Linked DNA regions of Daphnia pulex. The protein of the gene in region 4 purifies or fractionates together with the protein of the main gene of each other region. This does not show direct contact. Links are inferred from orthologs where the notes say so. Each region holds a gene or a part of one and is shown on either strand. Other genes may lie near its edges. The genes, in order: U4/U6 small nuclear ribonucleoprotein Prp4-like, CD2 antigen cytoplasmic tail-binding protein 2 homolog, small nuclear ribonucleoprotein Sm D2, probable ATP-dependent RNA helicase DDX23, 116 kDa U5 small nuclear ribonucleoprotein component-like, U4/U6.U5 tri-snRNP-associated protein 1-like and U5 small nuclear ribonucleoprotein 40 kDa protein-like.

What was found.
Region 1: the proteins of probable ATP-dependent RNA helicase DDX23 (region 4) and U4/U6 small nuclear ribonucleoprotein Prp4-like purify together in Homo sapiens (affinity purification with mass spectrometry; 4 studies listed by BioGRID and IntAct, counting the BioPlex papers as one, with this or other methods). This does not show direct contact. The link is inferred for Daphnia pulex from reciprocal best matches to the Homo sapiens genes DDX23 and PRPF4.
Region 2: the proteins of probable ATP-dependent RNA helicase DDX23 (region 4) and CD2 antigen cytoplasmic tail-binding protein 2 homolog purify together in Homo sapiens (affinity purification with mass spectrometry; 6 studies listed by BioGRID and IntAct, counting the BioPlex papers as one, with this or other methods). This does not show direct contact. The link is inferred for Daphnia pulex from reciprocal best matches to the Homo sapiens genes DDX23 and CD2BP2.
Region 3: the proteins of probable ATP-dependent RNA helicase DDX23 (region 4) and small nuclear ribonucleoprotein Sm D2 purify together in Homo sapiens (affinity purification with mass spectrometry; 3 studies listed by BioGRID and IntAct, counting the BioPlex papers as one, with this or other methods). This does not show direct contact. The link is inferred for Daphnia pulex from reciprocal best matches to the Homo sapiens genes DDX23 and SNRPD2.
Region 5: the proteins of probable ATP-dependent RNA helicase DDX23 (region 4) and 116 kDa U5 small nuclear ribonucleoprotein component-like purify together in Homo sapiens (affinity purification with mass spectrometry; 6 studies listed by BioGRID and IntAct, counting the BioPlex papers as one, with this or other methods). This does not show direct contact. The link is inferred for Daphnia pulex from reciprocal best matches to the Homo sapiens genes DDX23 and EFTUD2.
Region 6: the proteins of probable ATP-dependent RNA helicase DDX23 (region 4) and U4/U6.U5 tri-snRNP-associated protein 1-like purify together in Homo sapiens (affinity purification with mass spectrometry; 3 studies listed by BioGRID and IntAct, counting the BioPlex papers as one, with this or other methods). This does not show direct contact. The link is inferred for Daphnia pulex from reciprocal best matches to the Homo sapiens genes DDX23 and SART1.
Region 7: the proteins of probable ATP-dependent RNA helicase DDX23 (region 4) and U5 small nuclear ribonucleoprotein 40 kDa protein-like purify together in Homo sapiens (affinity purification with mass spectrometry; 3 studies listed by BioGRID and IntAct, counting the BioPlex papers as one, with this or other methods). This does not show direct contact. The link is inferred for Daphnia pulex from reciprocal best matches to the Homo sapiens genes DDX23 and SNRNP40.

What each region holds. Positions count from the first base shown.
Region 1 is NC_060018.1:6,530,833-6,534,568, reverse strand, and holds U4/U6 small nuclear ribonucleoprotein Prp4-like, read right to left. Parts: upstream 2,387-3,736; 5' UTR 2,247-2,386; coding exon 1,888-2,246; intron 1,829-1,887; coding exon 1,709-1,828; intron 1,646-1,708; coding exon 1,247-1,645; intron 1,187-1,246; coding exon 910-1,186; intron 820-909; coding exon 763-819; intron 700-762; coding exon 613-699; 3' UTR 501-612; downstream 1-500. Other genes in the region: tumor protein p63-regulated gene 1-like protein, read left to right, coding at 83-210, 282-475; splicing factor 3B subunit 4-like, read left to right, coding at 3,387-3,420, 3,486-3,736. UniProt on the Homo sapiens protein: Plays a role in pre-mRNA splicing as component of the U4/U6-U5 tri-snRNP complex that is involved in spliceosome assembly, and as component of the precatalytic spliceosome (spliceosome B complex).
Region 2 is NC_060022.1:6,690,472-6,693,721, forward strand, and holds CD2 antigen cytoplasmic tail-binding protein 2 homolog, read right to left. Parts: upstream 1,788-3,250; 5' UTR 1,706-1,787; coding exon 1,558-1,705; intron 1,494-1,557; coding exon 700-1,493; intron 635-699; coding exon 533-634; 3' UTR 501-532; downstream 1-500. Other genes in the region: 28S ribosomal protein S29, mitochondrial-like, read right to left, coding at 1,851-2,051, 2,111-2,203, 2,267-2,408, 2,463-2,623, 2,725-2,861, 2,932-3,024, 3,098-3,250. UniProt on the Homo sapiens protein: Involved in pre-mRNA splicing as component of the U5 snRNP complex that is involved in spliceosome assembly.
Region 3 is NC_060018.1:305,221-307,981, reverse strand, and holds small nuclear ribonucleoprotein Sm D2, read right to left. Parts: upstream 1,525-2,761; 5' UTR 1,354-1,524; intron 1,285-1,353; exon of another isoform or gene 1,253-1,284; 5' UTR 1,137-1,252; coding exon 1,132-1,136; intron 990-1,131; coding exon 734-989; intron 665-733; coding exon 557-664; 3' UTR 501-556; downstream 1-500. Other genes in the region: proteasome subunit alpha type-6-like, read left to right, coding at 1-42, 113-323, 386-443; cofilin/actin-depolymerizing factor homolog, read left to right, coding at 2,733-2,735. UniProt on the Homo sapiens protein: Plays a role in pre-mRNA splicing as a core component of the spliceosomal U1, U2, U4 and U5 small nuclear ribonucleoproteins (snRNPs), the building blocks of the spliceosome.
Region 4 is NC_060019.1:348,406-352,361, reverse strand, and holds the start of probable ATP-dependent RNA helicase DDX23, read right to left. Parts: upstream 2,801-3,956; 5' UTR 2,590-2,800; intron 2,522-2,589; exon of another isoform or gene 2,290-2,521; coding exon of another isoform or gene 2,200-2,289; intron 2,132-2,199; coding exon of another isoform or gene 1,997-2,131; intron 1,936-1,996; coding exon of another isoform or gene 1,752-1,935; intron 1,688-1,751; coding exon of another isoform or gene 1,547-1,687; intron 1,486-1,546; coding exon of another isoform or gene 1,375-1,485; intron 1,318-1,374; coding exon of another isoform or gene 1,163-1,317; intron 1,100-1,162; coding exon of another isoform or gene 909-1,099; intron 848-908; coding exon of another isoform or gene 694-847; intron 633-693; coding exon of another isoform or gene 351-632; intron 294-350; coding exon of another isoform or gene 51-293; exon of another isoform or gene 1-50. Other genes in the region: phosphoglucomutase-1-like, read left to right, coding at 51-293, 351-632, 694-847, 909-1,099, 1,163-1,317, 1,375-1,485, 1,547-1,687, 1,752-1,935 and 2 more; glycine dehydrogenase (decarboxylating), mitochondrial-like, read left to right, coding at 3,378-3,572. UniProt on the Homo sapiens protein: Involved in pre-mRNA splicing and its phosphorylated form (by SRPK2) is required for spliceosomal B complex formation.
Region 5 is NC_060028.1:8,367,612-8,371,780, reverse strand, and holds the start of 116 kDa U5 small nuclear ribonucleoprotein component-like, read right to left. Parts: upstream 2,801-4,169; 5' UTR 2,581-2,800; coding exon 2,260-2,580; intron 2,192-2,259; coding exon 1,867-2,191; intron 1,795-1,866; coding exon 1,670-1,794; intron 1,599-1,669; coding exon 1,351-1,598; intron 1,288-1,350; coding exon 1,125-1,287; intron 1,054-1,124; coding exon 918-1,053; intron 846-917; coding exon 168-845; intron 98-167; coding exon 1-97. UniProt on the Homo sapiens protein: Required for pre-mRNA splicing as component of the spliceosome, including pre-catalytic, catalytic and post-catalytic spliceosomal complexes. Component of the U5 snRNP and the U4/U6-U5 tri-snRNP complex, a building block of the spliceosome.
Region 6 is NC_060026.1:10,447,501-10,451,656, reverse strand, and holds the start of U4/U6.U5 tri-snRNP-associated protein 1-like, read right to left. Parts: upstream 2,801-4,156; 5' UTR 2,775-2,800; intron 2,674-2,774; 5' UTR 2,472-2,673; intron 2,391-2,471; exon of another isoform or gene 2,368-2,390; 5' UTR 2,355-2,367; coding exon 2,189-2,354; intron 2,134-2,188; coding exon 1,963-2,133; intron 1,906-1,962; coding exon 1,580-1,905; intron 1,516-1,579; coding exon 1,254-1,515; intron 1,196-1,253; coding exon 896-1,195; intron 831-895; coding exon 547-830; intron 474-546; coding exon 311-473; intron 237-310; coding exon 62-236; intron 1-61. UniProt on the Homo sapiens protein: Plays a role in mRNA splicing as a component of the U4/U6-U5 tri-snRNP, one of the building blocks of the spliceosome. May also bind to DNA.
Region 7 is NC_060027.1:3,204,468-3,208,640, forward strand, and holds U5 small nuclear ribonucleoprotein 40 kDa protein-like, read right to left. Parts: upstream 2,801-4,173; 5' UTR 2,458-2,800; coding exon 2,380-2,457; intron 2,224-2,379; coding exon 2,094-2,223; intron 2,031-2,093; coding exon 1,857-2,030; intron 1,795-1,856; coding exon 1,586-1,794; intron 660-1,585; coding exon 456-659; intron 398-455; coding exon 232-397; intron 161-231; coding exon 108-160; 3' UTR 28-107; downstream 1-27. Other genes in the region: syndecan-like, read left to right, coding at 3,821-3,913. UniProt on the Homo sapiens protein: Required for pre-mRNA splicing as component of the activated spliceosome. Component of the U5 small nuclear ribonucleoprotein (snRNP) complex and the U4/U6-U5 tri-snRNP complex, building blocks of the spliceosome.

The DNA.
Region 1 (3,736 bases), on a different chromosome or scaffold from region 4:
AAATCAGACATGACACATTGATACGTTATAATGTAGAAATGTCGAACAAAAGTTTTCAAGAAAGTTCTTGCTTTGGAATTAGATTGAAAAGAAACGGCGTCCGAATTTTGTTTGGGTCCGTGCCGGCAGAACCCAATTTTACCCAGTTATGGAATCCATGGAGCAAGGCAATTCCCTGGTTAACGTTTTTATCGCATCCACTACTTTCAAGTAAAAAGATTGCAATTCTGTTAATCATTATTCGATGGATGTTAACTCTTATTTTTACCTATGAATTTTAGCTGAACACACGACTCCTGCTATATTCGACGTTAAAGATTTTACAGTCAACCTACAGCGAACTTTGCAAAACGAGTACCAGGGTTTAGTTGAATACAAGCCAATTATAATGAATTCGTATTTAGGGCTTCCAGCATTAGTACACAACTACAGTCAATTCGGATTTTACAAAGTACGAGGGAAAGTAAGTTTTTAATACTCCACCCAATCTTCCCAACCAATAGGCTTCAACTTTTTTGTATTTAATTTATTAATGTTTTCGAAGTCCAATACACAAATAAAGAAATCAAACAAGCATGGTCGTCTTCGAAGCTGCACTCTATACTTCTACATTTATTCAGGGGACCAAAGCTTGTAAGTGCGATCGTACGAGGCTGTGGCGATGAACGACCCGTCAGGCGATACATCAACTGCCATAACCTGTAACAATAAAATAAAAAAATTGAGAAACACATCACAAACGTATCTGATTAAAAAATTTACTTTTCCGTCATGTCCCGAAAGGGTTTTCAATGGTTGCCAAGTGTTACTCGCCCATATCTAGGGCAGAAAATTATTTCAAATATATATAGATGACAAATGTAACATTTAAAGAATGCAGAAAGAAAATCTATTAATGATTATTCATACCTTTGCGGTACAGTCATATGAAGATGAGACAATATACTGTCCGGAACTTCTTTCGAATTTCACGCTCGACACTAAATTTGTGTGTGCAGGAATAGTATAGATACAGGATCTCTTACGTAAATCCCATATTTTACAGGTATTGTCTTCACTTCCAGTTACTATGTGGTAGCCATTAGGTGATATATCGATGCCCAAGACACCTTTTAAATGACCTTCCATAAACATGATGCAGCGCCCAGTTCTGAGGTCCCATACTCGACCAAAAGAGTCCATGCCACTAGAAAAAATTCCACATGTAATTAAAATATTATGTTAACATATTTTTAGGTGTTGGTACCCTGTGATAGCCACTGAACCATCAACATTGAATGCTATGTTGTATACAGGTTTGGAATGCCCTTCTTGATGAAGAACTTCTACACCCTGTTCTAGATCCCATAGCCTCCAGGAATTATCAAAAACACATGTAGCTAAAAATCTTCCAGAAGGATGAAATTCAACTTTTGACACTCGATGCGGAGCATGTCCTTCCATATCAGCAATCGGCTCTTCACTTTCTAAATTCCACAATTTGACTGCGCCGTCCATGGAACATGAAGCCATATTTAATTCTGAAGGTTCTAAGCTCAAGGTGGCTTGTGGATGGAAGACTATTGCTCCAACACTACACTTGTGGCCTCTCAATGAATGAGACAAAGTGCAGTCAGGTACATTCCACAATTTACACAGGCCACTCCTAAAACATGAATTGTTTTTTATTATCTGATTAACTCTCTTACAATCTCAGAATATTTAATACCAGGAGGCAGTGGCCAACAAATTTCCACTTGGGCTGAATTGGCAATATGATATTGGTCTTCCATCACCAACTTGGCTGCACATGATGTTCATACCTCTCATCCGTTTCACCATTTCCTGCCTGGAAAAGAAAAAATATATTAATTGGGATGTGCTTTCATAACAGAGCATATTTCAGACCTTTTGGCTGTTCTTGTTGATTCTGGTATTTCAGATTCAAGTTTCACATTAGATAACCTTTGTTTTGCTCTGGGGAGGGAATAATATGCTAACCACAAACGAGCAATTTTGAGTGATTCAGGACCTTCATGATACCAAGTGGTTTCAGTTTGATCTTTCTCAACCTTCACAATTTCTTTTTCATCTTCTTTTTTTCTATCGATCAAATCATGTCCATGAACCGAGAGTAACTCTTTTAATCTATTTCGGCGATCAGCAGGTCCTTCACCAAAAAGGGTTATTGGTTCACCTAATTGCCTAAGATGTTTCCGAATTTCCCCATCGTCAATTGTGATAGCGAAACCGGTTGTGGACGACATGTTTAAAGAAATGTGTTTTCTAATTGAACTTTTCCTGTTTTGATCTCAATGTTTAAATATTATAGACACCGACACCTCGTTTTGTCACGTTTTTGTTGTCAATACGATCGTTCTTAAATCTTAAATAGACTTTTACAAGCCAGACGACTCCCAAACGAAAAGCGACTTACGGTATGAAAAAATCATGTGCAGCATACAGAGCCACTGGTGGAAAACTGGAAAACTATGTTCCATGTACTCATTCTTCGGATAATAAACTGCCGCTCGCAAAAGAAATTTTAAATTATGATGTGTGATTTATTACACTACCTAATATACAAAACAGCCAGTCTGAATAATACCTGAATACTGAATCTTCGGTTTATATTACCAATTTGTGATTTCGATTAGAAAAAAATTATTCGCACTCATAGTGCAGCACATGCCCATCTGGGATTTTTTTCCAAAAATGATTTTGTTGCAACCTATAAAATTGAGGTTCAGCTCAGCATACAGTTGTTAATAGCATAAAATGCCTGATATGCGATCGATTACACATGCAGCAGACTGTGTAACAGACTGTGTAACAGGCCAATTTGGTGTACGGAAACATTAGGGAGTATACTAGGCCTAGTATAGGGACATAACCAAAAATGATGTTTGAAATATCAGATTGTCAGTTCAAAATTTGGTTATCCATTTTATGCATCTAATTTTAGAAAACTGTATAATAACTACAAAGAATTGTTCTTAATAAAGATCTGTATGAGAGGGAAAGGAATAAAGGATGTATTCTATTAACGCTTTAGATACAGAAATTTTATATTCTTAGTATTTCGTAGGATTTCCGGATATAATTATACATGCTTAAACACGGCATTATTTATTGGAATTTGGCAATTTGCAAAGAGACACAAGACACCACACAGACTAAGATTTGAAAACCTGTCGGATCCTTCCGCCCTTGCCGCTATTGAGTGTGTGGGCCGGTCTTTAGCTCCGGGCGTCATCTAGTTGGAGCTTGGTTAGTCAAAAGCACTGGCATAGGAAAACTGATCGCTTGACCGGCCTTCAATAATACAAGGCAGACACACTCAAACAAGCATTTTATATTTTGGAAGTTTGCAAATTTCAGGTGGAAACTATTTGGTTACTTTCAGCATGGCTGCTGGACCTGTTTCAGAAAGAAATCAAGGTAAGAAATTTAAGTTTATTATGCACTAAAATGAAATGACTATGTGAAATTTTTATCATTTTCAGATGCTACCATTTATGTTGGTGGGTTAGACGAAAAAGTTACGGAGCCCTTGCTGTGGGAGTTGTTCGTTCAAGGTGGTCCTGTAGTAAATGTGCATATGCCTAAAGATCGGATTACTTTACTGCATCAAGGATACGGATTCATAGAATTCCTCAGTGAAGATGATGCTGACTACGCATGTAAAATTATGAACATGATAAAGCTGTATGGTAAACCCATTCGGGTAAACAAAGCATCAGCACACCAGAAAAAC
Region 2 (3,250 bases), on a different chromosome or scaffold from region 4:
CATAATCTAACGGGGGAAATTTAATGGAAATTTGTTTGTTTATTTCCGAAGGAAAGCGTCGACTTTCAATTCCCATGCAACTATACGTATATAAAGTACTCTAAAATGGTTTCTCTTGTTTTTGAATAACTAACTATACACGTTATATGTAATCAATTAGACGGCTATGTTTGGTTCACAGATGGTTCACATTATTTGTTAACGTTACGTTATCGAAAATTAAAGCTTTCGATTTTTGCTTGTATTTTACGCTGAATCGTGGTGAACCGGTAGATCTTGGTATTAAATCAATATACATGATACATGAATAGTGATGATAACCCGTGCCACTAACACATTGCAACCCGGTAGTACCGTAAACCGGTAGGGCACCGTTTAATTGTTAAAATGAAGATGTTTACTGAAGTAACTAAACTAAAGAATAAAAATGTCTGATATCTTGATCAAGTTGCTGAAAAATAATTAATTAAATAGCGTCTCATGCTCTCATCATTAGGTAATAAAAGTGAAAGGACATGTATTATTATACGAATCAAAGGTATAGATCAAAATCGATTCGCCGTGAGGTATAGAAATCTCCTGGTTGTCCGACACGGCGAACCCAAACACCCGATTCAAAGTATCCTTGGTTTACCTATAAATATGTGGTATATTAGAACAATAATTAGCCAAAGTAACACTAATAATCATATAACAAACCCAGTCAAGCATCTCTGATGTGCTATGCGGTCCGTGTATTTCTGCATCTTCTTCTTGTTTCCATTTGAATTCCCATTGTACAGTTTCTGGTTTTACTTCGTCTTCTTTAGCTTGACCTTCGCCTTCATCAAACCGAACCTTCTTGGTAATGGGTTCTCCTTGGACTGACTCCGATTCCCGTTTATTGGAGTCAGCTTTATTTTTTTCATCGAACATATCTCCAAACATATCGAGATCATTTGTCGATTGCGTCACAGGTTCTTCTGATTTTTTAATCTTGAAACGTATCCCTTCAAAAGTTTCTTGATAAACATCCATGTTTCCCATATTAGAAAGAATGCTATTCGCATGTTCAGTTAATTTGGCTATGTTTTCCTTATTCAATTCATTTGTTTGGTGGTCTCCTTCGTCTTGCTGCTTTTTCTTTTTCTTCCATCGCTCAGATGCTGTTTGAACTTTACCACCTCCTAATCTTTTCAAAGCTTTTAGAACTGTTTCACCAGGTAAAAGTATGGCCAGCATTTCTTTATATACAGGAATGGGATCAAATTTCTTCAAGTAATCATTTGTATCCATACTTTCTTCATCTGATGGATTTTTGTTGGAAGCTGCTTGAGAATTCACTTTAACCCAATCTATGTTGTCCAGCCAATGGTCTTTCACTTCATCTTTCTCCCGCTTTCCAAAAATGTATGTCCCTTCTTTATCGAAGTGCCCTTCTTCCATTTCTTCTTTCATGTTAAATGGTGTAATCTGAACTTCTCCATCAAATTCTTGGGTAGGGTCCTCTTGGCCTGTTGGGACAGTAGAAATGAATTGTGGATAATTTCTTCGAAACTGATATTTTATTTCTATTACCTTCTATATCATCTTCTCGCATCATCTCATACTTTTCAGTTTTTTCATCATCTTCACCACTGTCATCTCCGTCAGAAAAATCTCCTTGGTCGACATTTCCTGTTTCTAACGTGTCTTCTTCTAATTCCTGGTGTTTCCTTTTCGGCATTTTCTTTGATAAAACTCGAATTGATTATTCTAGGATAAAGGAGACAAACAGATTTAAAGAACGCGTCTTCTCGATGTATTTTTAAATAAATGATTTCGGACTAAGAATTATTTGACTTTTATTTTTATTGTTAATAATCATCCAATCAATATGGAGCAACAAGTCTCATTAAACTGTATGGATGCTTGCCACTAGTAAAACTCAGTTCAGCTCGTCCATTGTCCGTGCGGGCTTTCGGTTGCTGAAGCCAATTTCGTTCAATGTAATAGTCGATTTGCGAACGAAATTCTTTGTCATTATAGTTCTGTACTTCGATCGGGACGAAAGGATCTAGATGTTCGAAACCCTAGATGGATGGCAACGGAGTTGTTTAATTTGTTGTATGAATACCATAAATTGAAATACTGTTTTTCCAAGAAGATATCTAGGCAGAGGTGATTCACGCAGTTCCGGAGGATGAGCCGATGGATCAACTGATACTACGACGGCTCCGTTATTCTAAATTCAACCCATATTTTGAAATCAAATAACATTCCAATAATCACTATTTATGTTTTATACCCAATCATTTCTTGTAAGAGACAATAATGCATCCGTTAGCAAAAAGTCTGAGGGTAAAACCATGGATTTGTCTTCCCTGATCACGTTCGATTTCCGTGAAAAGAAAGAATTAAATCCATCGATAACCACGAGAACGCGGCATCTGCGTAAGATAACCGTGGTTTAATATGATTCAAAATTGCATTATGAAACGTACTGTTTGCTTGAAGCGGCTTTTTTAAGTTCATCTAACAAAGCAACAATACAACCAGTTGCATATTTGGCCCTGTTGAGACCCAAATCTATCAATTCACTCAGAGGAGATCCTTCAGCAGTCACTTCTCGTTTACTCCAAGTGTAGGTGTTACTTGTCTTCAGCTGTTATTTTAAGTTCAGAAAACCCATAATGAGTACACATAGAAAAGCATTGGCTTAAAACTACTGAATACAAAAAGAACATATAAATATGTTTATATCACCTCTAATTTATCCAACAGATGTCCATTCTGTGTGCTAAAATGCTTTAACCATTCTACTGCTTCAATTGGTTGATCATACTTATTTGCATGAACTGATGAAGGAGTGGCAACCTTCACGTATTGAAACCATTTGGGAACTAAAAATCAGTTGAATAGGATGGTATTATTAGCACAAAATATTTAGTAATAATCTTCCTTAGTTCTTACCCCACGGAACATGAACTAAAACAAATCCAGCACTGCTACCATAATGGACAATATGAGCTAGAGAAAGAGATTTTCCAACTCCAGTCTTTCCATCTGCAATAAATGGTGTAATACTTATAAAGGGTTTGTTAACATTATTAAAGGCATGAAAAAAAAGGTAACTTACACAGCACATATCTAAGAACTGGAGCATCAAAATTTGTTTTGTTCAGATAATGTATAAGCTCAATTGCAGGCTTTCTTACCATAATACACAATCCATTTAATGTTTCACTTAGCGATTGGTATTCTTTTGGTAATCCTCCTCCTGCAAAGAGTT
Region 3 (2,761 bases), on a different chromosome or scaffold from region 4:
ATGAAGAATTGGGGCCTGCTGTATACAAAGCTGACCCAGCAGGTATATATCTAAAATAGGGTGTAAAGTTCTCAAATTGTATGCTTTATTGCTGTTTTACTTTTTTTTCAAGGATATTACTGTGGTTATCGTGCTACTTCAGTGGGTGTTAAACAAACCGAGGCATCGTCGTATCTTGAGAAGAAATACAAAAAGAAACAAAACTACACACATGATGAAGTTATCCAGCTTGCTATTACAACTCTGTCTCATATCCTAACTGCTGATTTCAAGCCATCTGATATTGAAATTGGAGTTGTTTCTAAGGATCAACCAGGATTTAGGTAAGAAAATGCGCAAAATATTTAAGTTTAGGAAATTAATGTGACTGATCTGATTGTTATAGAATTCTGTCGGAAACTGACATCGATAAGCATCTGACTGCAATTGCCGAAAAAGATTAAGTTTGATTTTGTAACTTTTTCTTTCAACATTGGAATAAAACGAGATAATAAAACACATTTTCCGCTGTTCGATTTTTTTATTTCATACAAAAGTGAGAGATAAACACATACAATTATTTTGCTCCAGGAGTACCAGCCAAAGGATTTCTTAATACTAATATTACAGAATCTCCACGTAGGAACATTTTGGAGATAAAACGGTCCTTGTTGACTGGTTTGCTCTATAAAATAAATATACAACTGTCACTGTTGATAGATGAATGAATGAATGCAGAAATAGTGAAAATTACCTTCTTCTTTCCTTTCCCTGTTCTGGGAACTTCAGTCCACATTTCCTTGACATTTTCTAGAACCATATTGCAGTGACGGTCAAAAGCTTTAACACGTCCCAGTAGCTTTTTGTTGTTACGGCAGTTGATCAAGACCTGAGTGTTGTTTTTTACACTCTGAGTCAAAACTGAAAGTGGTCCAGTGTTGAATTCTTCTTCTTCCCGTTTGGCCAATTCCTCCGGTGTCATCTCCGACTTGGGTTTATTTGCAACAGCCCTATGGAAAGAAACATTTATTATTTAGTGCTCATACGAAACTGTCAAGTAGAGAAAAATCTGCAGACACGGAACACTGTAACTAGCTGAAAATATAGATTTAAAAATTTTCTATTTTGAAATTGAACTTAAGCTTTACTTACGCCATGATAAATAGAAGGATGTAAACGGATAGAGAAATATTCTTTGGAATATTTTTGAGCCCGGCTTCGTTTAACTTTTCAAACCGTTATTCACTTGTTTTTCGTAAACAAAACGTACATGCTGCGTTGTCATATTGTATTAATTAGCATTAGACGGTTGATGCTATTTTATGTCTTATTTGCGATTTAATTGCCAAAAATTGTTTTTTAATGTTGACTTACATTTTTAAGAGACACGTTTCAATTTCTAATAATTGTTGTGAAAAGAAAAGAATGAAATTTGCCAAGAAAAACATTTACAATCCCAGACGTCAGACGTCTGGGACTCTGTACTGGAATTCGTTTTAGTCGAGAGGAAAGGAAATACAAACCTCAGAAAGTAGAGTCAAGAGAAAACCGAAGCGGTTGACAATTGTCAGCCGACAGATGTTATGTTATGTAGCATAGCTTGTCTAATGCCATATATGGACATATTCCCCCCGTATGCACAGACTATTCTTTCTCATGGTCCCCAATGGAGAACGCTTTCCAGCGTTGTTGATAAGTCATCCTGAAACGGCGAAAACTTTCGAATCACGCTGTTATCGGCTGTTCATTGTGCGAAGGCGATCTATGGCAATTGAAACTTTTTGGTCTAAATTATAGAAACAGAGAAAGTTGTCGACACCGGTCCCGAGAGTTTCAGATTTTTAATACATAGGGGAGGGGAGGGCAGATTAGAGGGAGGGGAAGTAAAAATGTGAGTCATCGATGTCTGCCCATAAAAGGTCATCCTCCCCGAGAAACTGAATGAAAGAATAAGTGTGCAACTGGCCCAATAATTTTTTTTTTTCGTTAAAACACTCATGCGAGATGCACACCATTTATTAGGAAGTCGGAATGATCATTTAGAGTCGGCAACTTTTTGCTCAAGCAGAAAAATCTGCGAGTAGAGGATTTTACAGAAAAAGTTACTTTTCGTAACTCTCTCCAGGTTTGTGGTTTGGGCTCCCCTTTTTCGGGTTAACAAGCGCCCGATATGGACAACCAATCAGAGAATGTGCAACCAGTACACACAAAATTCTCTACAATCGGCATCATCCTTCAATCGCTAAGCAAGCAGAGACCCCTGGCGGTTACCCGAATTCATTTAACGACATTTGAGATTTTACATAACAGCAAACAGAATAAGAGTCATACAAATTATTTTTAAAATGATAAATGATGCGCCTATCATTATATGTTTTATTTGTGATAAATTAGTGAAGTTTGTAATATGGTTCGAAATAGGCATCGTTTGACGGCGCTGTATTCCACCCCCAGATGACGCGCTTTTCTGGGTGTGGACTGGGTAGCGCCAAGTTTTCTCAAGTTTGGGGAACAGCCGCCATTTTGCAGTGCGAGGTCCCGGCCGGTGTAGAGAAGTCTACTCTGAGTTTCCCCTCTTCTTTCGCCGCGCCACGAGTAAAATCTTATCGAGGGCATTTTCTCTCTCTCTCTCTCACTCGCACCACTCACTCCCCCCAGTGCCGTCTCATCCCGCAGTCATTCGGGTTGATCTTTCAGTTTAGGCGTCTTTGAGCTTTGCGTGAAATTTTTCTAGACTTTTTTCTTAGTCCAAAATGGTGAGTAACGTTGATATTGTCATGTC
Region 4 (3,956 bases):
AAAGTTCTAGTCTCAGTCTCTTGTGCTGTAACTACGGGAGAAAAACTAAGATGTTGAGTCCAATAAAAGTACCTACAACGCCATTTGAAGGCCAAAAACCTGGCACTAGCGGCCTAAGAAAAGCGGTTAAAGTATTTTCTCAGCCACATTACACGGAAAATTTTATTCAGTCGTTGTTAACTGGAGGACTTGGTGAGGCTCTAACCGGTTCGACTCTGGTACTTGGTGGAGATGGACGATATTTCTTGCACCAAGCAGTCGAGATCATTGTCCGCATTTGTGCTGCCAATAAGGTACAGATCCTTGTTATTCCGTTTTAAAAATATGGTTCTAATGTGATGTCATTACAGGTATCCAAGCTGATTGTTGGGCAGAACGGAATTCTTTCTACTCCTGCAGTCTCTTGCATGATTCGCAAGTATAAGACCAACGGTGGAATTTTGCTCACTGCCAGTCACAATCCAGGTGGTCCTGATGCCGATTTCGGCATCAAGTTTAACACCTCCAACGGTGGGCCTGCACCTGATGGTGTAACCAACAAAATCTATGAGCTTTCTACTGGAATCAAGGAATATTCTACAGTACCAGACCTGAAATGTGATATTAAGACCATTGGAACTCAGCAATTTGATGTAAGAAAGCTAAAATTAGTGATGTCATTCAAAATTTCATACCATGTTCCACTCTTTGTAGATTGAAGGCCACCCATTTACAGTTGAAGTCGTAGACTCTGTCAACGATTATTTGGAGTTGATGAAAGAAATCTTTGATTTTGGTTCTATCAAAAACCTTATTTGTGGAACAGGTCAAACCCCTCTGAAAGTGTTGATCAATTCAATGCACGGAGGTATTGATCTTTGAAAAAGTCTTTAAATACGACACCATTTGGCTGACCACTGTTTTTTTAGTGACCGGTCCTTATGTCAGCCGCATATTTTGCGAAGAGCTTGGAGCTAGCGCACAAAGTGTCGTAAATGTTATTCCCCTGGAAGATTTTGGAGGACATCATCCTGACCCGAATCTTACTTACGCCGCCGACTTGGTTCAAGCTATGAAAGAAGGCGATTTCGGACTTGGAGCCGCTTTTGATGGAGATGGAGTAATTAACTTTCATTAACTCTTAAACTTAACTCAATATTTCAATGTGTGTATTTAAATGAAGGATCGAAACATGATTTTGGGTGAGAAAGCCTTCTTCGTCACCCCTTCCGACTCTTTAGCAGTCATCGCCAACAATATGGATTGTATTCCTTACTTCCGTAAAACTGGAGTTAGAGGATTTGCCAGAAGCATGCCTACTGGTGCCGCTGTCGATAGGTATTAATTACATTATTGGACCACTGAATTTGTTTTAACTAAATAATTTTTTATTAGGGTTGCCGTCAAATTGCAGAAAAGTATCTACGAAGTCCCCACCGGCTGGAAATACTTTGGCAATCTGATGGATGCCGGACAACTGTCGCTTTGCGGCGAAGAAAGTTTTGGGTAAATTTTAGTACATTCGAATTTTATTTATGAAAATATTTCATATCTGCAATTTTAATAGAACTGGCTCAGATCATATTCGAGAAAAAGATGGAATATGGGCGGTTCTTGCCTGGTTGTCTATTCTGGCCACCAGGAAACAAACAGTCGAACAAATTCTAAAAGACCACTGGACTTTGTACGGGCGAAACTTCTTCACGAGGTGAATTAGAGGTTACGTAACACATTTATGTAACGTTACTTATGACATTGAATTGACCTTTTAGATACGATTACGAAAATTGTGATTCCGAGCCCTGCAACAAAATGATGGCCGACCTTGAGGCACTCATGAACGAACCCTCGTTCATCGGTTCTGTTCACGAATTCGATGGCAAATCTTTTACGGTGGCCCTGGCCGATAACTTTTCTTATACCGATCCCATCGATGGTAGCCTCTCCTCCAAACAGGTACTACAAATGTCTTTAACGGAAATAAAAATGTCAGTATTAATTCATTTTGATCCTAAAGGGATTGCGGATCATTTTCCAAGATGGATCGCGTATTGTCATTCGCCTGAGCGGCACTGGAAGCTCAGGGGCTACTGTCCGCCTTTACATCGATAGCTACGAGTCCGATGCTGATAAATATCTGCTTGACGCCCAGGTATACCATATTGACATTGATTGATGTAACCCTGAAGCTTTTAAAGATAAATGCCGTATTGAATTTAGGTCATGTTGAAACCACTTGTTCAGATCGCGCTTCGAATTTCCAAGTTGCGGGAGCTGACCGGCAGAGACGAGCCCACAGTTATTACGTAATAATAACGCCGTTTTTAATCAACAACTTGCCGAGCAATCGAGCTGCAGTTATTCTTAGTCAGCGCTCTAGTTTTTGTTTGTTTCGTGTTGGATTTTGGGTAAGATATGAATTAATAGTCTATAGAAAGTGTTGTTGTTGTTGTTGAAATTGGAATCTCTCCTGTTATCATTAAAATTTAATATTTGCCGAGTGGCTAGCTGCTTTGTCTAATAAAACAGGCAATCTTTGTGATACTGCGTGAACTGTCTATACTAGTCCCGATGTGATGATAGGGAAAACCTAATTCAGATCATACGTACGTATTTATCTCTCGGCTGAGAGGTAGACCTTCGGTACAAGTTGCACCACGACTGACGCTGAAGCCAATCTACACGCACTGGTACGTATAGGAATTGTTCCCGGCACTTTGCACCTTATCTTTTAACATACGACATTTGTCCTTGAAAAGGAAAAAAAAACTATACTTTGGACAAATCCGTTTTGACACTTATTTGTTTGCACTGAATTATCGCTAGCCTAAATCTATTTCGACCAAGTGTCAACTTATGTCTGGGTCTGTAACAAATTTAGCGTTTTGATTTTTACAAAATGATTGTATTATGTAACTTTGGTAGATTCGATCGTTAAATGCGTTTCAGTTCAATGTTTTCTGGCCAACATCGCAGTTGGGCAGTTACCTATACGTCAACAAAATAAAATTAGCCGAGTCGAAATAATGCCCAGCAGTTGATGGCAGTGAAAGGATCCGCGTGCGGATTGGCCATGGACTGAAGCCCAAGGGCGCCAAATGAGCTTTGAAAAACCGCTTCGCGCTGGTTCGGGATCAGTTTCGCTTATGTACATATCTCCCCCCCTCCACCTTATTGCCTATACCCCCACATTTCCTATGTACACACACACACAACCAGGTCAAAGTCGCCCGTTTCGTCCGCACTGAAAAAGTCGAATGCAAACCTCTCGATTCGCTCATTTCGTTTCGTGCGCTCGTCGTGGTGAGGTGTTACTTGCACAGTCTCCCATAGTGCTGTAACAGTGCCCTGCGGTGTTGTTTCATTTGACTCACGTTGTGTAATAATTGGCCTTAAAGATGCAGAATCTATTGAGAGTGGTGGGTCCTCTGAAAGAATGCATCCGCACCAGCTCGAGAAGTCTTAATACTGCGCAGCGGATTTGCGGAACGCATTTCGACCGCGTCGTGCCCGCTCGGCAGGCATTCAAAAGTCGACATATTGGACCCAATGAAGCCCAGAAGCAACAAATGCTTCAAGTAGTTGGGTGCAAGGTACATTTCACCTATTTTTACAAGTATTGTGTGTGGTGAATGTAATTCTTTGAAATTCGAAACAAGTTTCTATTTTACTAGTAGCCCAAATTTCGTTAGTCTTTTGTTTTTCCTTGTTTTTGTTCTACAGTCGTCTGCTCCATCCGTTTGAAACGTTTTCTTTTTCCATCACATTCGTCCTTCCGCAAATAGCAGTGCCCATACATTTCGTCCTTGAGAATTGTTAGGCCTTCAAAAATAATAGGGAACAGATTTTGTTTAGTCTTGGCATTTGAAAGCCTTGAAACTTGGAATGCGTAGACACTGGACCCGCGGATTAATCCTAAACTTTACAGACGTCTAGCATGTTGTTAAGAATCACGTTGAATCACGTTTAGAACAACA
Region 5 (4,169 bases), on a different chromosome or scaffold from region 4:
ATTGTGATTTTATTCTTTTTGTTTGGAGTTTCGGCAAAACATTTCAGTGAGGACGTTTCCACGACCGTTTCGCAAAAAGACACCACAGGATCAGCAACTACAAGAAAAACCAAAGTGAATTAGTTAAATTAGAAGAATTAACAGTTGGGAAGAAATGAATGGCAAACCTTTAATGTCGATTTCCGAGTACATTTTCCTGAGATCGTGCATGACACAGTCCAGGTAAAGTTCGCCTGTTCCAAGAATAACGTGCTCGCCCGACTCCTCCACTCGCGTCGAGAGCAACGGGTAAGATTTGTTAACCTTACGCAGACCGTCCAACATCTTGGGCAATTCGCTGGGATTCACCGGCTCAACGGCAATTTTGATGATGGATTGCGTGTTGAATTTCAAGGGTCGGCAAATGTACAAGTCCTCGTCGACGTGAACCTGGACGATGGTCGACGTCTTGACCACTGAGGCATCGATCCCTTCGATCAAGACCCAACTGCCTGCCGTTACTCTATTGACTTCGATCTTGTAACGGGCCTCGTATATCCAAAGTCGACCGATCGTCAACACACGTGAATCTTCTTCGTCATTGAGCGAATAGTTTTCACCCAGGAGTCGGACGTTCTGGTGAGCGTGAAGGGTCCCACTCAGGACACGACCCAGGACATAGAATCCAGTGCAGTCCTCTGTGGGATACTGTTTGGTAGTATGGACAACCAGTTGGCCGTTGGGATCACAGTTGACCATGTCTTCGCCCAGGATGGACTCCAGGGGACCTGTGTAAATGTGTTCCACTTTGGTGCGAGCAGCCGTTACGGGCGACGGGACGTGTTTGACGCACATTTCCACGAAACCTACACACACCAGTCAAACATTGACATTTAAAGACCGTTGCTTCAATTCAACATACATTTTAATTGACATACCGCTGAAAGTGCCCAGGTAGCGACTGCAGACCAGTCTCAACAAGGGGCGAGTGTTTAACCGCTGTTCCTCGACAGTCAGGCGAATGCCAAGTTCGTCCAGCAACTGCGGTAGACTCGAATCCAAATCTCCCACAACCTAAACAAGCAAAAAATATTGGAAATGAATCAACTGTTCAAATTAACTGCAAAGTTGTCCTTGGTACATGCCTGGGCAAAGATTTTGTACAACGGCTCTAAAATGAACTCGATGAAACTTCGCTGAGCCGAGCTATGTGGCGGCTTTTTGGTGAACTTTCTCGTCTTGCTGTTGAAGTAAATGTCACCCCACAGACGACGTGCTAACTCGTTGTCGTTGATATCGGATCCGTATCTAAAATGAAAGAAAATGAAGTTTCATTTAAGACCGTCATTGCCATTGTGGACGTGTGCGTACGTGTCACTGTAAAGTTTGGCGAAGGATTTAAGGGTGAAGCAAACGGAGAACTGGGCAGAAGCAAAGCAGACGTTGCCCAACAAGGGCGACACGAATTTTGGATTCTCTTCGTCGCTGTACAGGCCCAAAAGACCGTTGATCTCTTCAATGATGTAGCGCAACTTGTAATATGCGTCCTGAGGTGGCAGCTTGAGCTCCAAAATGAGTCGATCGATTTTGTTGATGCAAACTGTGATGGCCATTTTCTCCTATGAAAGGACAGGGTTAAAAAGAAATTCTTGGAATAACCAAGTTGAAGTTTTTTTTTTTTTTTAATTACCTGGACGGCGTGCTTCAAGATTCGTTCCGTGTTGAGCATGACACCCTCGACAGCGTCGACAAAGAGGACGATACCATCGCAAAGTCTCAGGGCAGCCGTGACTTCATCTGAGAAGTTGACGTGACCTTTAAGAAACATCAAAATCGATTAAATACATTTTTCCCCCCCATTTTGCAAGTTGGAAAACTGTAATTTACCAGGTGTGTCGAACATGTTGAGGAGGAAGGATTTTTCGTTCAGGTCGGGCATGACCACGGTAATGGGCGTCGCTTTGATGGAAACACCTCTCTCTTGTTCAGTAAAGAGTGTGTCTGTGTATCTGACAGGCTTCTCCTCTCCACTGCCAGGTTTTCCCGTCTGGAGATCTGGGTGTGTTTGCATGAGCAGACAATCCATGAAGGAAGTCTTGCCATGGTGCAAATGACCAACAAGGGCCACTGAACGAATAAGTTCTGCAGAGTCCATGAGATCAGCCAAAAACTCCATGTTATACGTGGTTTCAGGGAGTTCTTGCTCAGCAACCTAATGAAAATGGGTGGAAACAGGTTAATCAACAAAATGAAATATGGCAGCGAAACAATTTGTGGTACCTGAAACTTCCTTCGTTTGACAGGTGCGATGATGGGTTCAGTCAAGGGCTGAGCATCTTCTTCCTGCACCAGTGTCTCCACACCAGGTCCGTAAACCTCCAACGCTGATGGATAGTATTTTTTGTCTTCATGCAAAACAATGGCCATCTGTGCGTCGCCATCAACCACCGTTTGATCCATGGCCTCTTCGGAATCATTGTCACCATAGTCTTCGGCTTCGTCATCGTGATCAGCCTCGTCTCCTTCCTCATTTTCGTCTTCATCTGACTCGAGTTCGGGTCCAATGTAATTGCCGAATTCGTCGTAGAGATCGGCGTCCATTCTTGACAGTCAACTGAGTCGTTTGCTGTCTGTAAATTGGGCAGATACTTTGGATGTTGTCGATCGGTATTCGGCTTAACCCAACACTCACAGTTATAAAGCTGTTTCAAAAGGGAATTTCAGAAAAGCCGGGCCTTTCAAGAAAATGCGTTTACTATGCGTACAGATTTGCACGCGCTCAAAACGAGCGACACTAGCGACATCTAGCGGGTGCCAATGAAATCTGAATTTAAGAACAGCGCCATCTACCAGCTAGCAGGTGGATTATGAGTGGCAAAAAAAATGAAAATAAAATAAAATGAATAAAATAAATAAAAATAAAAATAAATAAATAAAAATAAAATAAAAGAGAAAAAAAAAATTCACAGCGTAATAAAATGCAAATGGGAATCCCGTTGAGGGCGGGGTTTTCCCTACCCGAATAAGGAAATGTTTCTGGCGCTGTTTTTTTGCTTGTGCACTGGAAACTGAAATCTAGTTGTGAATTTATATAGATGACGTGTCAGTCGCTATCAGGTCGGGTCCACGACGGAAAAAAACATTTTGTAGGAGAAACAAAGTCAGTCGAACACGGGCGATAATATCAATCAAAGCGGGCGAAATAAGGAGTAAAATGCCGTCATGTTTTTGAATTGAATAACGGAATAAATCTCAGCAGTCGTCTGATGTCTACGCACACAGTGCAGAATTTCAGTTTTGCCGGGCGATGGAAGCCCCCTGGATGGGCAAGTGCCCTTATATGATTTATTGCTGCCGACTCGTATGGAAAGATATATTAGACGTCTTTATCTGCAGACGAGTCTACAGACGAGCGACCCCGATTTATATATTCGCTTGTTGGTTTGTTGTTGCCAAAAGGAAATCACAAAAAAAAAACCCAAAAAATACTTGGGATGATATGGGCAGATCGACAAAATCAATGCCGGCCATTCGGTGATGTAGACCAGCCCAGCCCAGCCCAACTAGAGTTCTCCTTCTGTCCATGGGTTCTCGGTTGATGGTTCTTTTTTTTTTTTTTATTCGGGATATAATCACCGTTATCGGCGATGCTTCGAGTTGCTTGTTCTGTTTTTGTTGTTTGCAGCAATGTCATCCATTGTGTAGGCGGATAGAATGTACCCGGTTGAATGTCGCTGCACACATTTAGACTTGGCCAACAGCAGCAATCGACTTCCTCCTCCTTATTCCTCGTGCGTGAATTTTCCGTGGGGGTGTCCAATCAATAGCCCGACAGACTCTGACTGAGATTTTTTTTTTTTTTGGTTTGTTTTGTTTTTCTCTTTTTAAATTTCTATCCATCATCTTTTTTGTGTCTGCGGGGGGGTCACTATACTGTCCGGTGTGCATTGCCACGGCGGTGTAGTCTGTCGGGAGTCAAGGCTTAATGGATCGCAATGATTATTGGACGGCATTCATTACTACACAATACCCTTCGACATGGATGAAGCGATTGTAGTTCACTGGACTCCTGGACACATTAGACTTACGAAATGATTGATTGTTAATCAAGTCTCGTGGTGATGACGGAATGTTATTAGACCTCGACATTGGTCGAGCCAACAATCTCCACCCCAATTATAAAATTCGGC
Region 6 (4,156 bases), on a different chromosome or scaffold from region 4:
AATAACAAAATAAAATAAGAATAACTGAATATCGTATAAACAAAACACAAAATAATTGTACGCTGCTTTATCTTCTATGGTGTAGCGCTGCGCCTGCAGCTCTTGGGCGGACTTAGAAATAACTATCCTCTTCTTCTCTTCTTTCTCCAGATAGCCTTTGCTCATAGCCAATTTCAAAGCTGCAGCCATTCCCGAGCCGACATCAGGTTCCTCGTCCAGGATAACAGTAGCGTTATCTATTTTACAGAGAGAAAAGAAAAAAATGCAAACACTGACAACAATAAAAGTGACGAGAACACAGTATACATACCCTTTTCATTACGATCGACATCCATGCTGTCGTCGGAACCTTGATCGTTTTCACGTTCCAGAACATTCCATCCACCGCGTTCTTGAAGACGCTCAGCCTCCCTTTTTCGCTCTTCTTTTTCTTGATTTCTTCTGCGTTCTTCTGCCAACTGTCGCTCGAAATCCTATTGCCAAAACAGAAACGCAATTAATTAAAGTCAAAACCAAAAAAAAAAAAACATTCATGCAATGAATTACCATTAACTCATCTTCGTCTTCATCACGATTGCCTGCCATACCATAGGTTGGTATGTCACCAAGAGTACGACAGAATTCTGCTGTGGCATTCAGTATGATACTACTCTTCAGAGGATCCTCTTCCATACCTTCCGTTTCTTCCAAAGGCTCGCGTTTTAATGACCGCGTAATCATGTTCATGTCCCACTGATCAGCCTTCCTTTCTTTTAGTTTATTAGCTTTTAATAGTGCCTGACGTATTTCTTTTTGGGATTCGTCTACAGTAATCTTGAATCCGCTTAAATCTGGCGTTGGATAAACAAGACATAATAAGTAATAATAAAACAATATACTAGTCAAACTAAAATACCTTCTGTGACCTCTTCATCCATTCTCTTCTTTCGAGATCTCGATCCCAAGTCTGACGAAGTTGTTTCTTGCGTTTCTTGAATAAGATCGTCAGCTTTTAAAATGCCGTCGCCTTTGGATCGAACCTTTTTGACGCGACGTTTAACTTTTTTGAAGGAAACCATTTCTTCTGCTGTATAATATTCAGATGCAATTTGGAGCGGTCGCGATTCCAGTGATTCAATTTTCTTCTGTTGCATTTTGAGTTTGTCTTTCATCAACTTTTGGGCTTTCATTTTGGCTTCTTCATCTCCAATTTTACCTAGAATTTTAACATAAATATTTTTGTAAAGATCAACAAAACAAATCTAATATTTTACCTAGGACAAAGCTATCATGTTTTTCTCCTTCTATTTCTGTGTCATATTTAGCAAGCAAGAGCTTTGGTTTGGGAAGGCCCAATTCATCAACTTCTTCCTCTTCATAGGGCTGATATCCCGGTCTCTGTTTCTTGATTTCATTGTTCTTTTTGTAGCGTTCTATATCAACAAGGTTGACATTCACCAAAACATCCCCTTCCTCTTGCAAGATGTTTTGATCTTTAAGAGTCAATACTACTTCTTTCCCTTCAGCTATCATTTCCTAACAAAATAAAGCAACATCAACACAGGTATTCAAATAAAAGTATACGTTGTCGGTGACTTACCCGGTCATGTTCTACTTTTATTCCTCGTAAGTCTCTACTTGTGTATGCTTTTGCTTTTTGTTTAATCAGTTCAGTAGTTACCATATCTCCTACACCAAATGCTTCATCCATTTCTTCAAGCATTTTTGCTCTTTTATTAGCTTCTTCCTTTTCTTTCTGAATCCTTCTTGATTTTTCAACCCAGCTAACAGCATTGTCATCATCATCAGCTGTTGTATGAGCAAGAGTGCGCACTTGTGCAAGCTTTTGTTCTATTTGCCTCTTTTCTCGTCTTTCATCTAGTTTTCGTCTCAACTCTTCTGTGGCTTTCTTTTCACGGAGGTTCTCTAGAGAAATACCACATTTAAATTGTACAAGTAAAGACATTTAAATGAAATCATTACCTGCTGGGACATGAACATCCTTTTTCTCAGTACTGGCTTCAACATTTGAATTTTCTCCTCCAATCTCCAATGGCTTCAAACCAAGTTCAGCTCTTATTCTGTTGGTTTCCTCAATCGAAATGGAAGTATCATTGGTTGAATTAGCAACTGGTCTTTCATCATTCCCTTTTCCTTAAAAAAAATTATTGGTTACTAGTTACTAATAAACATAATTTTGAATACATACCTGTCAACAGTTCTTCGCTCTGAATGTTGAGACTTATATCTTCCTTTATTTGTTTGGATTTGACGGAGGCATAACTTTTTGAATGTGATCTTGACGGAGACCTAGATGGGGAACGATGTCTTCTTTTTCGAAAATTATTATGATCGCGACTTTCTTTTCGGTCCATGTCTCCTTAAGAACTGAAAGAAAGTAGTTTAACTTAGGTGGGAAGTTTTGATTTCTTTAAACATAAAATTTTTTTCAATAGAATTCCTTAAAATATCAAACAATAAAAGTAGGGTACCAGAATCTGTATTCACTTAATGATCTTGCAACAATTTTACTTCAGAACTTGAGAACTGAGAAGCAGACTTCAGCTTTTGCAATATTTATTTTGATGCCGTTGGGTGTTGGTAAATTGCTAAATGCGGGATTGGAAAGCGGGGACAAATACAAATCCATTGATTCCGCAACAGATGGCGTGTTAATCCTCCTATTGAATAAAACTTAAAAAAAGAAAACAGAAGATAAATTTATCCGTAAATCAATAAAGGAAAAACATAATGAAAACATTAAGGCCAGTATAGTTTTTAACTATTTGTTTTACATGTGAAGACTTGTGCGGCAAAACCAAAAGTCCAAAACGAACAATGTCGTTGTCGATTTTTGTTTATACTAAGGGTTCCAAGATTCCGCACCAGGTTCGCTAGTGAGGTAGGCTGATCGCCTCAAAGACTATAGATGTTATTCCAATGAAAAAGTAGTAGTCGAACAAAAAGTCCTGCGCAGTTTACGCCGATGCGCACCACTGCGGCCGATAGCAGAACCAGAGCAATAGATGCCTGGTCGGTTCTCGGCTGTGTTGGCTTCCCTATCCCGGTTTTAGGGTAAACGTATCCCCGATTTTCAGACATTTTAGGGCGGAGCTTGTCAGAATTGTGAAGTAGAAACTGGAAACAGAGCCATCTAGGCTCTCAAAAGTAGCTAAGCGTAGTAGCTGACACACTCACTAGAGCGCTCATTCCAGTTTCCAAATCGGACCACGTTTACCCTGAATATAGGGTCTGTTGGGGTGACCACCCCCTCTCGATTTTCGCAGCGCTAGGTGGCTTATAGGATGAAGCCCGGCATGGCCGAAAAACGAAGAAATTTTTAGAAATTTTTTCAAAAATTTCAATCGTTAATATCTCGGCTTCTGAGCCGAGCATCGAAAAAACATGAAAATTGTTTGAAGAGGTGGGCTATCCCATCATTATGAAACAATTCGAATATTTCCAGGTGCAGCAGTTGACGAGAAAACTGCTGCACAAAAAACGAAAAAAATTCCAAATTTCGGCTACCCCCTCTCAGTTTTTTTAAAAAAATCTCCCAAATTACAAAAGCTAGGCGATTGCGGTTTTCAGCAATCGACTTAGCGAAAAATTTTGCACAAAACCCATCTATTTGTTAATTTTTAGAACCCCTAGCGACGATTTCCGCTAAATCAAAAACGGCCTCTTTGAGTGGCGAATCGCTTGTTGAATCGTTAGGAATATTGCTCAATTCCAGTTCGAAGTTGCCTAATTCCAGTTACGACAAAAACAGCAAGATAGAGTTGCATTTTGGTTCGGAGAAATAAACTGGTAATACTGTGTTGTTTTTTGGTGGTATATCTTCGTTCCATCCAAATATTTCTCTGTGCAGAGTGACTGGCAAGTTCGATTCAAGAACATACAACAACATCCTCAAAGAACATATTCTTCCTTTTTGCAAGATGAAATCAACTAGACATATTGGTGTAGTACATGACTGGTAATCTTATTTTCACATTACAAATTAAATTTCTTGTGTGTGTATGTTACCGAATATTGTTATCAACTGTTTATAGGTTCCCGGTTAACCGCAGCAAAGCTGCTATGAAATTTGTTACTGAACCAGAGGGTAACATTGTCATTCTTGATTTGCCTAAATAATTCGGGGACGCCATACCCGTTGAAACTGTTTGACTGA
Region 7 (4,173 bases), on a different chromosome or scaffold from region 4:
CGATTAATTTAAATGCAATTTTGTAAATATGCGTAAAAGAATTATTTGTTTATTCGTCCTCGATCCTTGCCATCGTTTCAACTGAAAAAAATTATAACCTTTCCTAATTAAGCGTCAATTTCGCCTAGGTAAATCAGCTTGTCACTGGCACCGGATGCAACTATGTTTCATTCAAAATAAAAAATCTGAAATTAATTGATGTCCTTGATGTTGATTTGCTGCGTAAATTACCAATAGGTTCCTTAGGATGAAATACAACGTCATTGACACTTCCGTTGTGACCAGGTAATTTGTAAATGATGCGGCGAGATGTAGTGTCCCAAATGTAAACGAATCGGTCGGCAGATCCCGCTGAAACTTTGGTTCCGTCAGGTGACCATGAGCAGCGAAGTAAATTCTATAACATTACACAAGGTATTAGAATGGATTGAGAAATTCGCCGGCATTGTATATACCTTTTCAAAGTTGTGAGCATGGCCAACCATCATTTTGATACAACGTTCTTGAGGAGCGAAAGGTCGTACATCCCAGACACGTAAAGAGTTGTCCATCGAGTTTGACAACACGTAAGATCCATCAGGACTGAGAGTCAAGCCGGTCACAGTGTCGGAATGGCCCTTCAAGGAGTAGAGGAGAGCATTTTTTCTCAAGTCCCAGACCTAAAAAGGAAAGTGTATGATTTACCTATCTCTCCATATTCACGTGAATAGCTCAAGGCCAGGACCAGTTGAAATATCGCAAATGCAAAACTACTTTTCAGGTTTTAAAATGAATATCTTCCAAAAAAAGGAGAAAACTTAACATGGGTTTAGTTCGAACGAAAAGATAATCGATAAAAAGTGAAAATTATCTATTTTTCAGAGTAAATTCTTCCTAAAGATGTCGCAAAATTGTCATAAGTATTACGGGGAAAAGTTTTGATCGATAATGTGCAACCATCTGACAAGCAAAGAAGTATCAGAATCCGCTTCCAGCGTTTCACATTTGCCTCAAACTGACAAAACACAAAAATGCGCATCTTCAGTAATTAGGATGGAATTAGGACATTTGACGAGACCCTACTGCTGAAATTACTTGAATTAATTTTAAAAACTTCGCCTACGAGCTTACATTAGTGAACCCATTCATATATCAAAGAGAAGGGGCCCTGGAAGTAAGGAAGGACTTGGTGACCTTATCAAGGTGAGACACGCGATAATCAGAATACCAAAGTTGAAATCCCTTGCACTCTTCAAGGAAAATGAACTCGATGATAGGGTAAGACAGAACTTGCACGAATATGGTTCAATATTAAGTAGAAAACAATCAACAATGTCGAAACTTTAGTTTTTACAACAAAGACAGAATATGACTGCAGGTCCTTCCTTTTTTGCCAAACTATTCTCTTGAAGCCATCAAGTAAAAATACTGAGAACTTTAATCAATTCTGTAAGAAAAATACTCAAGTTTGTGACTTTCTCCCACTCACACGGAATATGAAGTTCGCCGAATCGGTGGCTTAATTCAAATTCTTGGAAATTGGTCCCATAGTTTTTCTTCTCTCTCTCTCTCTCTCTATTACAACAATTGAATTTTGCGAACTCACCTTAACATCGTTGTCGATGCCTGCGGAAATGACTTGTTCGGCGGTATCGTTGAAGGTGACGGAAGTCGCTTGGTAAGAATTATCTAATGATACTGTCTCGGTTCTTTTTCTTGGATCCCAGACTTTGATGTTGCAGTCATCTGAGGCGCTGCAGAGAAGAGGAGGTCCTCTTCGTGCAGGATGAATAGCATTGACAAAGGAGGAGTGGCCTGTTGAAACAAATTGTTGTTGGGTTCAATTGCTAAATAATGGGACAGTGACAATGGTATACCTTTCAGTTTCTTGATTTTAGCTCCTGTTCTGGTGTCCCACAAACAAATGGTTTTGTCTGTACTAGCAGTGTAAATGGTATCACCATCGGTAGACAGCTGAAGATCCATTACTGCTCCGGTGTGACCAGACAACACAGCAAAGTTTTCACACTCTCCATAAACATTCCACAAAACTGTTGAACAAGAGGTTGATTATCCAAACAGTAGAGATGCTCAAATGTATATATGATGCTTACATATTTGTCTGTCGAACCCGGTGGAAACCAAAAACTGGCCGTCAGGATGGAACTTCAGGCTAAAGATATCTCCAGGATGTCCTGCCAGGAGCATTATAGGAGCCATGAGGCTAGACGTTCTTGCTGGTCCCTGTTTATTGAAAAAGTCAATATCACATTTGAATTCATCATAGCATCTACAACAACAAAACACACAAGCTGGTCAGCATGTGGTTGGATGCAATTCTCTTTTGTGATGCATTCGGCTCATTTAAAAGTTTATAAATAAAACACAAATAAATCAAACCTGTTGCAGGGCCACTTGACCCGAGGTGGCCGACACCAATTCATTATTGCTGGGATTGTTTACTGACACAAGCGCCATTGCTCCGGCTTCTAGACTTTTAAGAAAATTTTCAAGTTGTAGAAAAAAAAAGTGAAAAAGTTTTGACAACTACTACTGACGGAGCAGAAGCCTTTTCTTGCTAGATCTATATTTTATAGTGGTCGCCTTTTCCAAATCTTGTTGGAAACTTGGAAAGACTTTGGTATAATAAAAGAATAAAAATTGAGATGGGGAAAAGCTGTCACAGTGGTATATCGCTCAAGAATTTCCGAACCCTTTTTCTCTTTCTTTTTTTGGGAAAAAGAAGTTGTAACTCGAGGAATTTCATGAACACCCGCGCAGTCTTGGAAAACAATGGGTATTATTGGGGCCGGAAAACAGGCGAACCCACGATCGTAAAAAAAGAAAAGGAGTGTTAGAAGAAGGAGGGAGAAACAACAAACATTAAATCTCTCCCCTCGATATTTTCTTAAGTTTTGTGTGTCCGTGTGACTATAGAACAGAGGACCTTCTAGTTTTTTAACACTCGCAAGAAAACGACTTCACCAGTATATGTGATAGTCGCTATGTCTGGGATTTCTTTTCCATTCCAACGAAATTTGGTGCGTCGGAAAGAACAAAACTAGTCTCTCGAGATGAAGATATTTTGAGCGCTGAATCCATGACCTAAATTGAGTCATTCATTTTTTCCCAACATGATGAGGAAATGATGAGATTGATTTTTGTTTTTCCTTTTCTTTCCCGTGTGTGTGGTTTACATTCGTCCGTATAATTTCCACGTCTATGTTGTTGGAGGAGAAAGTGGGGAGGAGCTGAAAACTGCCGCCAGATGGCAGAGTTTTTGGTACCCAATGGCGGCGGAGGGACACAAAGAAAAATCCAGTCCCTTCAGTTTAATGGCGGCTCTCGGCTGGTGTGTTTGATGATCTGGGCGTGAGTTGGGATCTTTTAATCCATTTCGGCCTTTGGTTACATCGAGAAGTGTCTCGAAATCACGCCAATTCCCGGCAACTCTTTTTGTTCTGTTGATATTTAACATTCCGTCCCCGAATCGACGAGTAAAACTCGGCCATCGTTTTGGCTTCACCAGTGAACTGTGTGGTTGAGTGCGCGCCTGTGAGAGAGAAGAAGTGTGAAAGAAAGAAAGAAAATGCCCAGCCTGACCTGAGAGCATCACCGTCTGTGTTTAGAAAATTAGAAAAACGGACAAAAGGCTGCAACTATCCTAATTTATTCGACCACGTTCTCCACTTTTGTATTGAAATAACACAAAAATCTTGGAAGAAAACTTTAGAAACGGATATCCGGCTCTTAAAATAAATAATACTGAAAAAATCTCTCTCTCCACCCTCTCACACACACGTAAGGCAGACTCTCAAACGCTCAGGAAATTCTCTCAAAAATGAATCCCAGAATACATATGGCGATTTTCATCGCCTTTTTGGCTGCACATTCGGTTAGCAGTAACATCAACAGTGCATCATCGGTTGCCAAGGTAAGAATGCCACCACTTTTTATTGATCTTTTCACACATCTGGACTATCATAAAACTCCCACACCCTTGATTCCAGGCTCACAATTTTGTCACGACACATTTTGTTGGGTTTTGTTTTATTTTGTCGTTCTTTTTAAACTAACGTTTTGTGGAGAGAGAGAGAGATTACTTAATGATGTGGAAGTTTTGTTTTCTTGTAGTTTTAAAAAATTTCAGCTAAGTTGTTTGTGTTTGTCTCTCGAGTTCTGTTGATGACATTA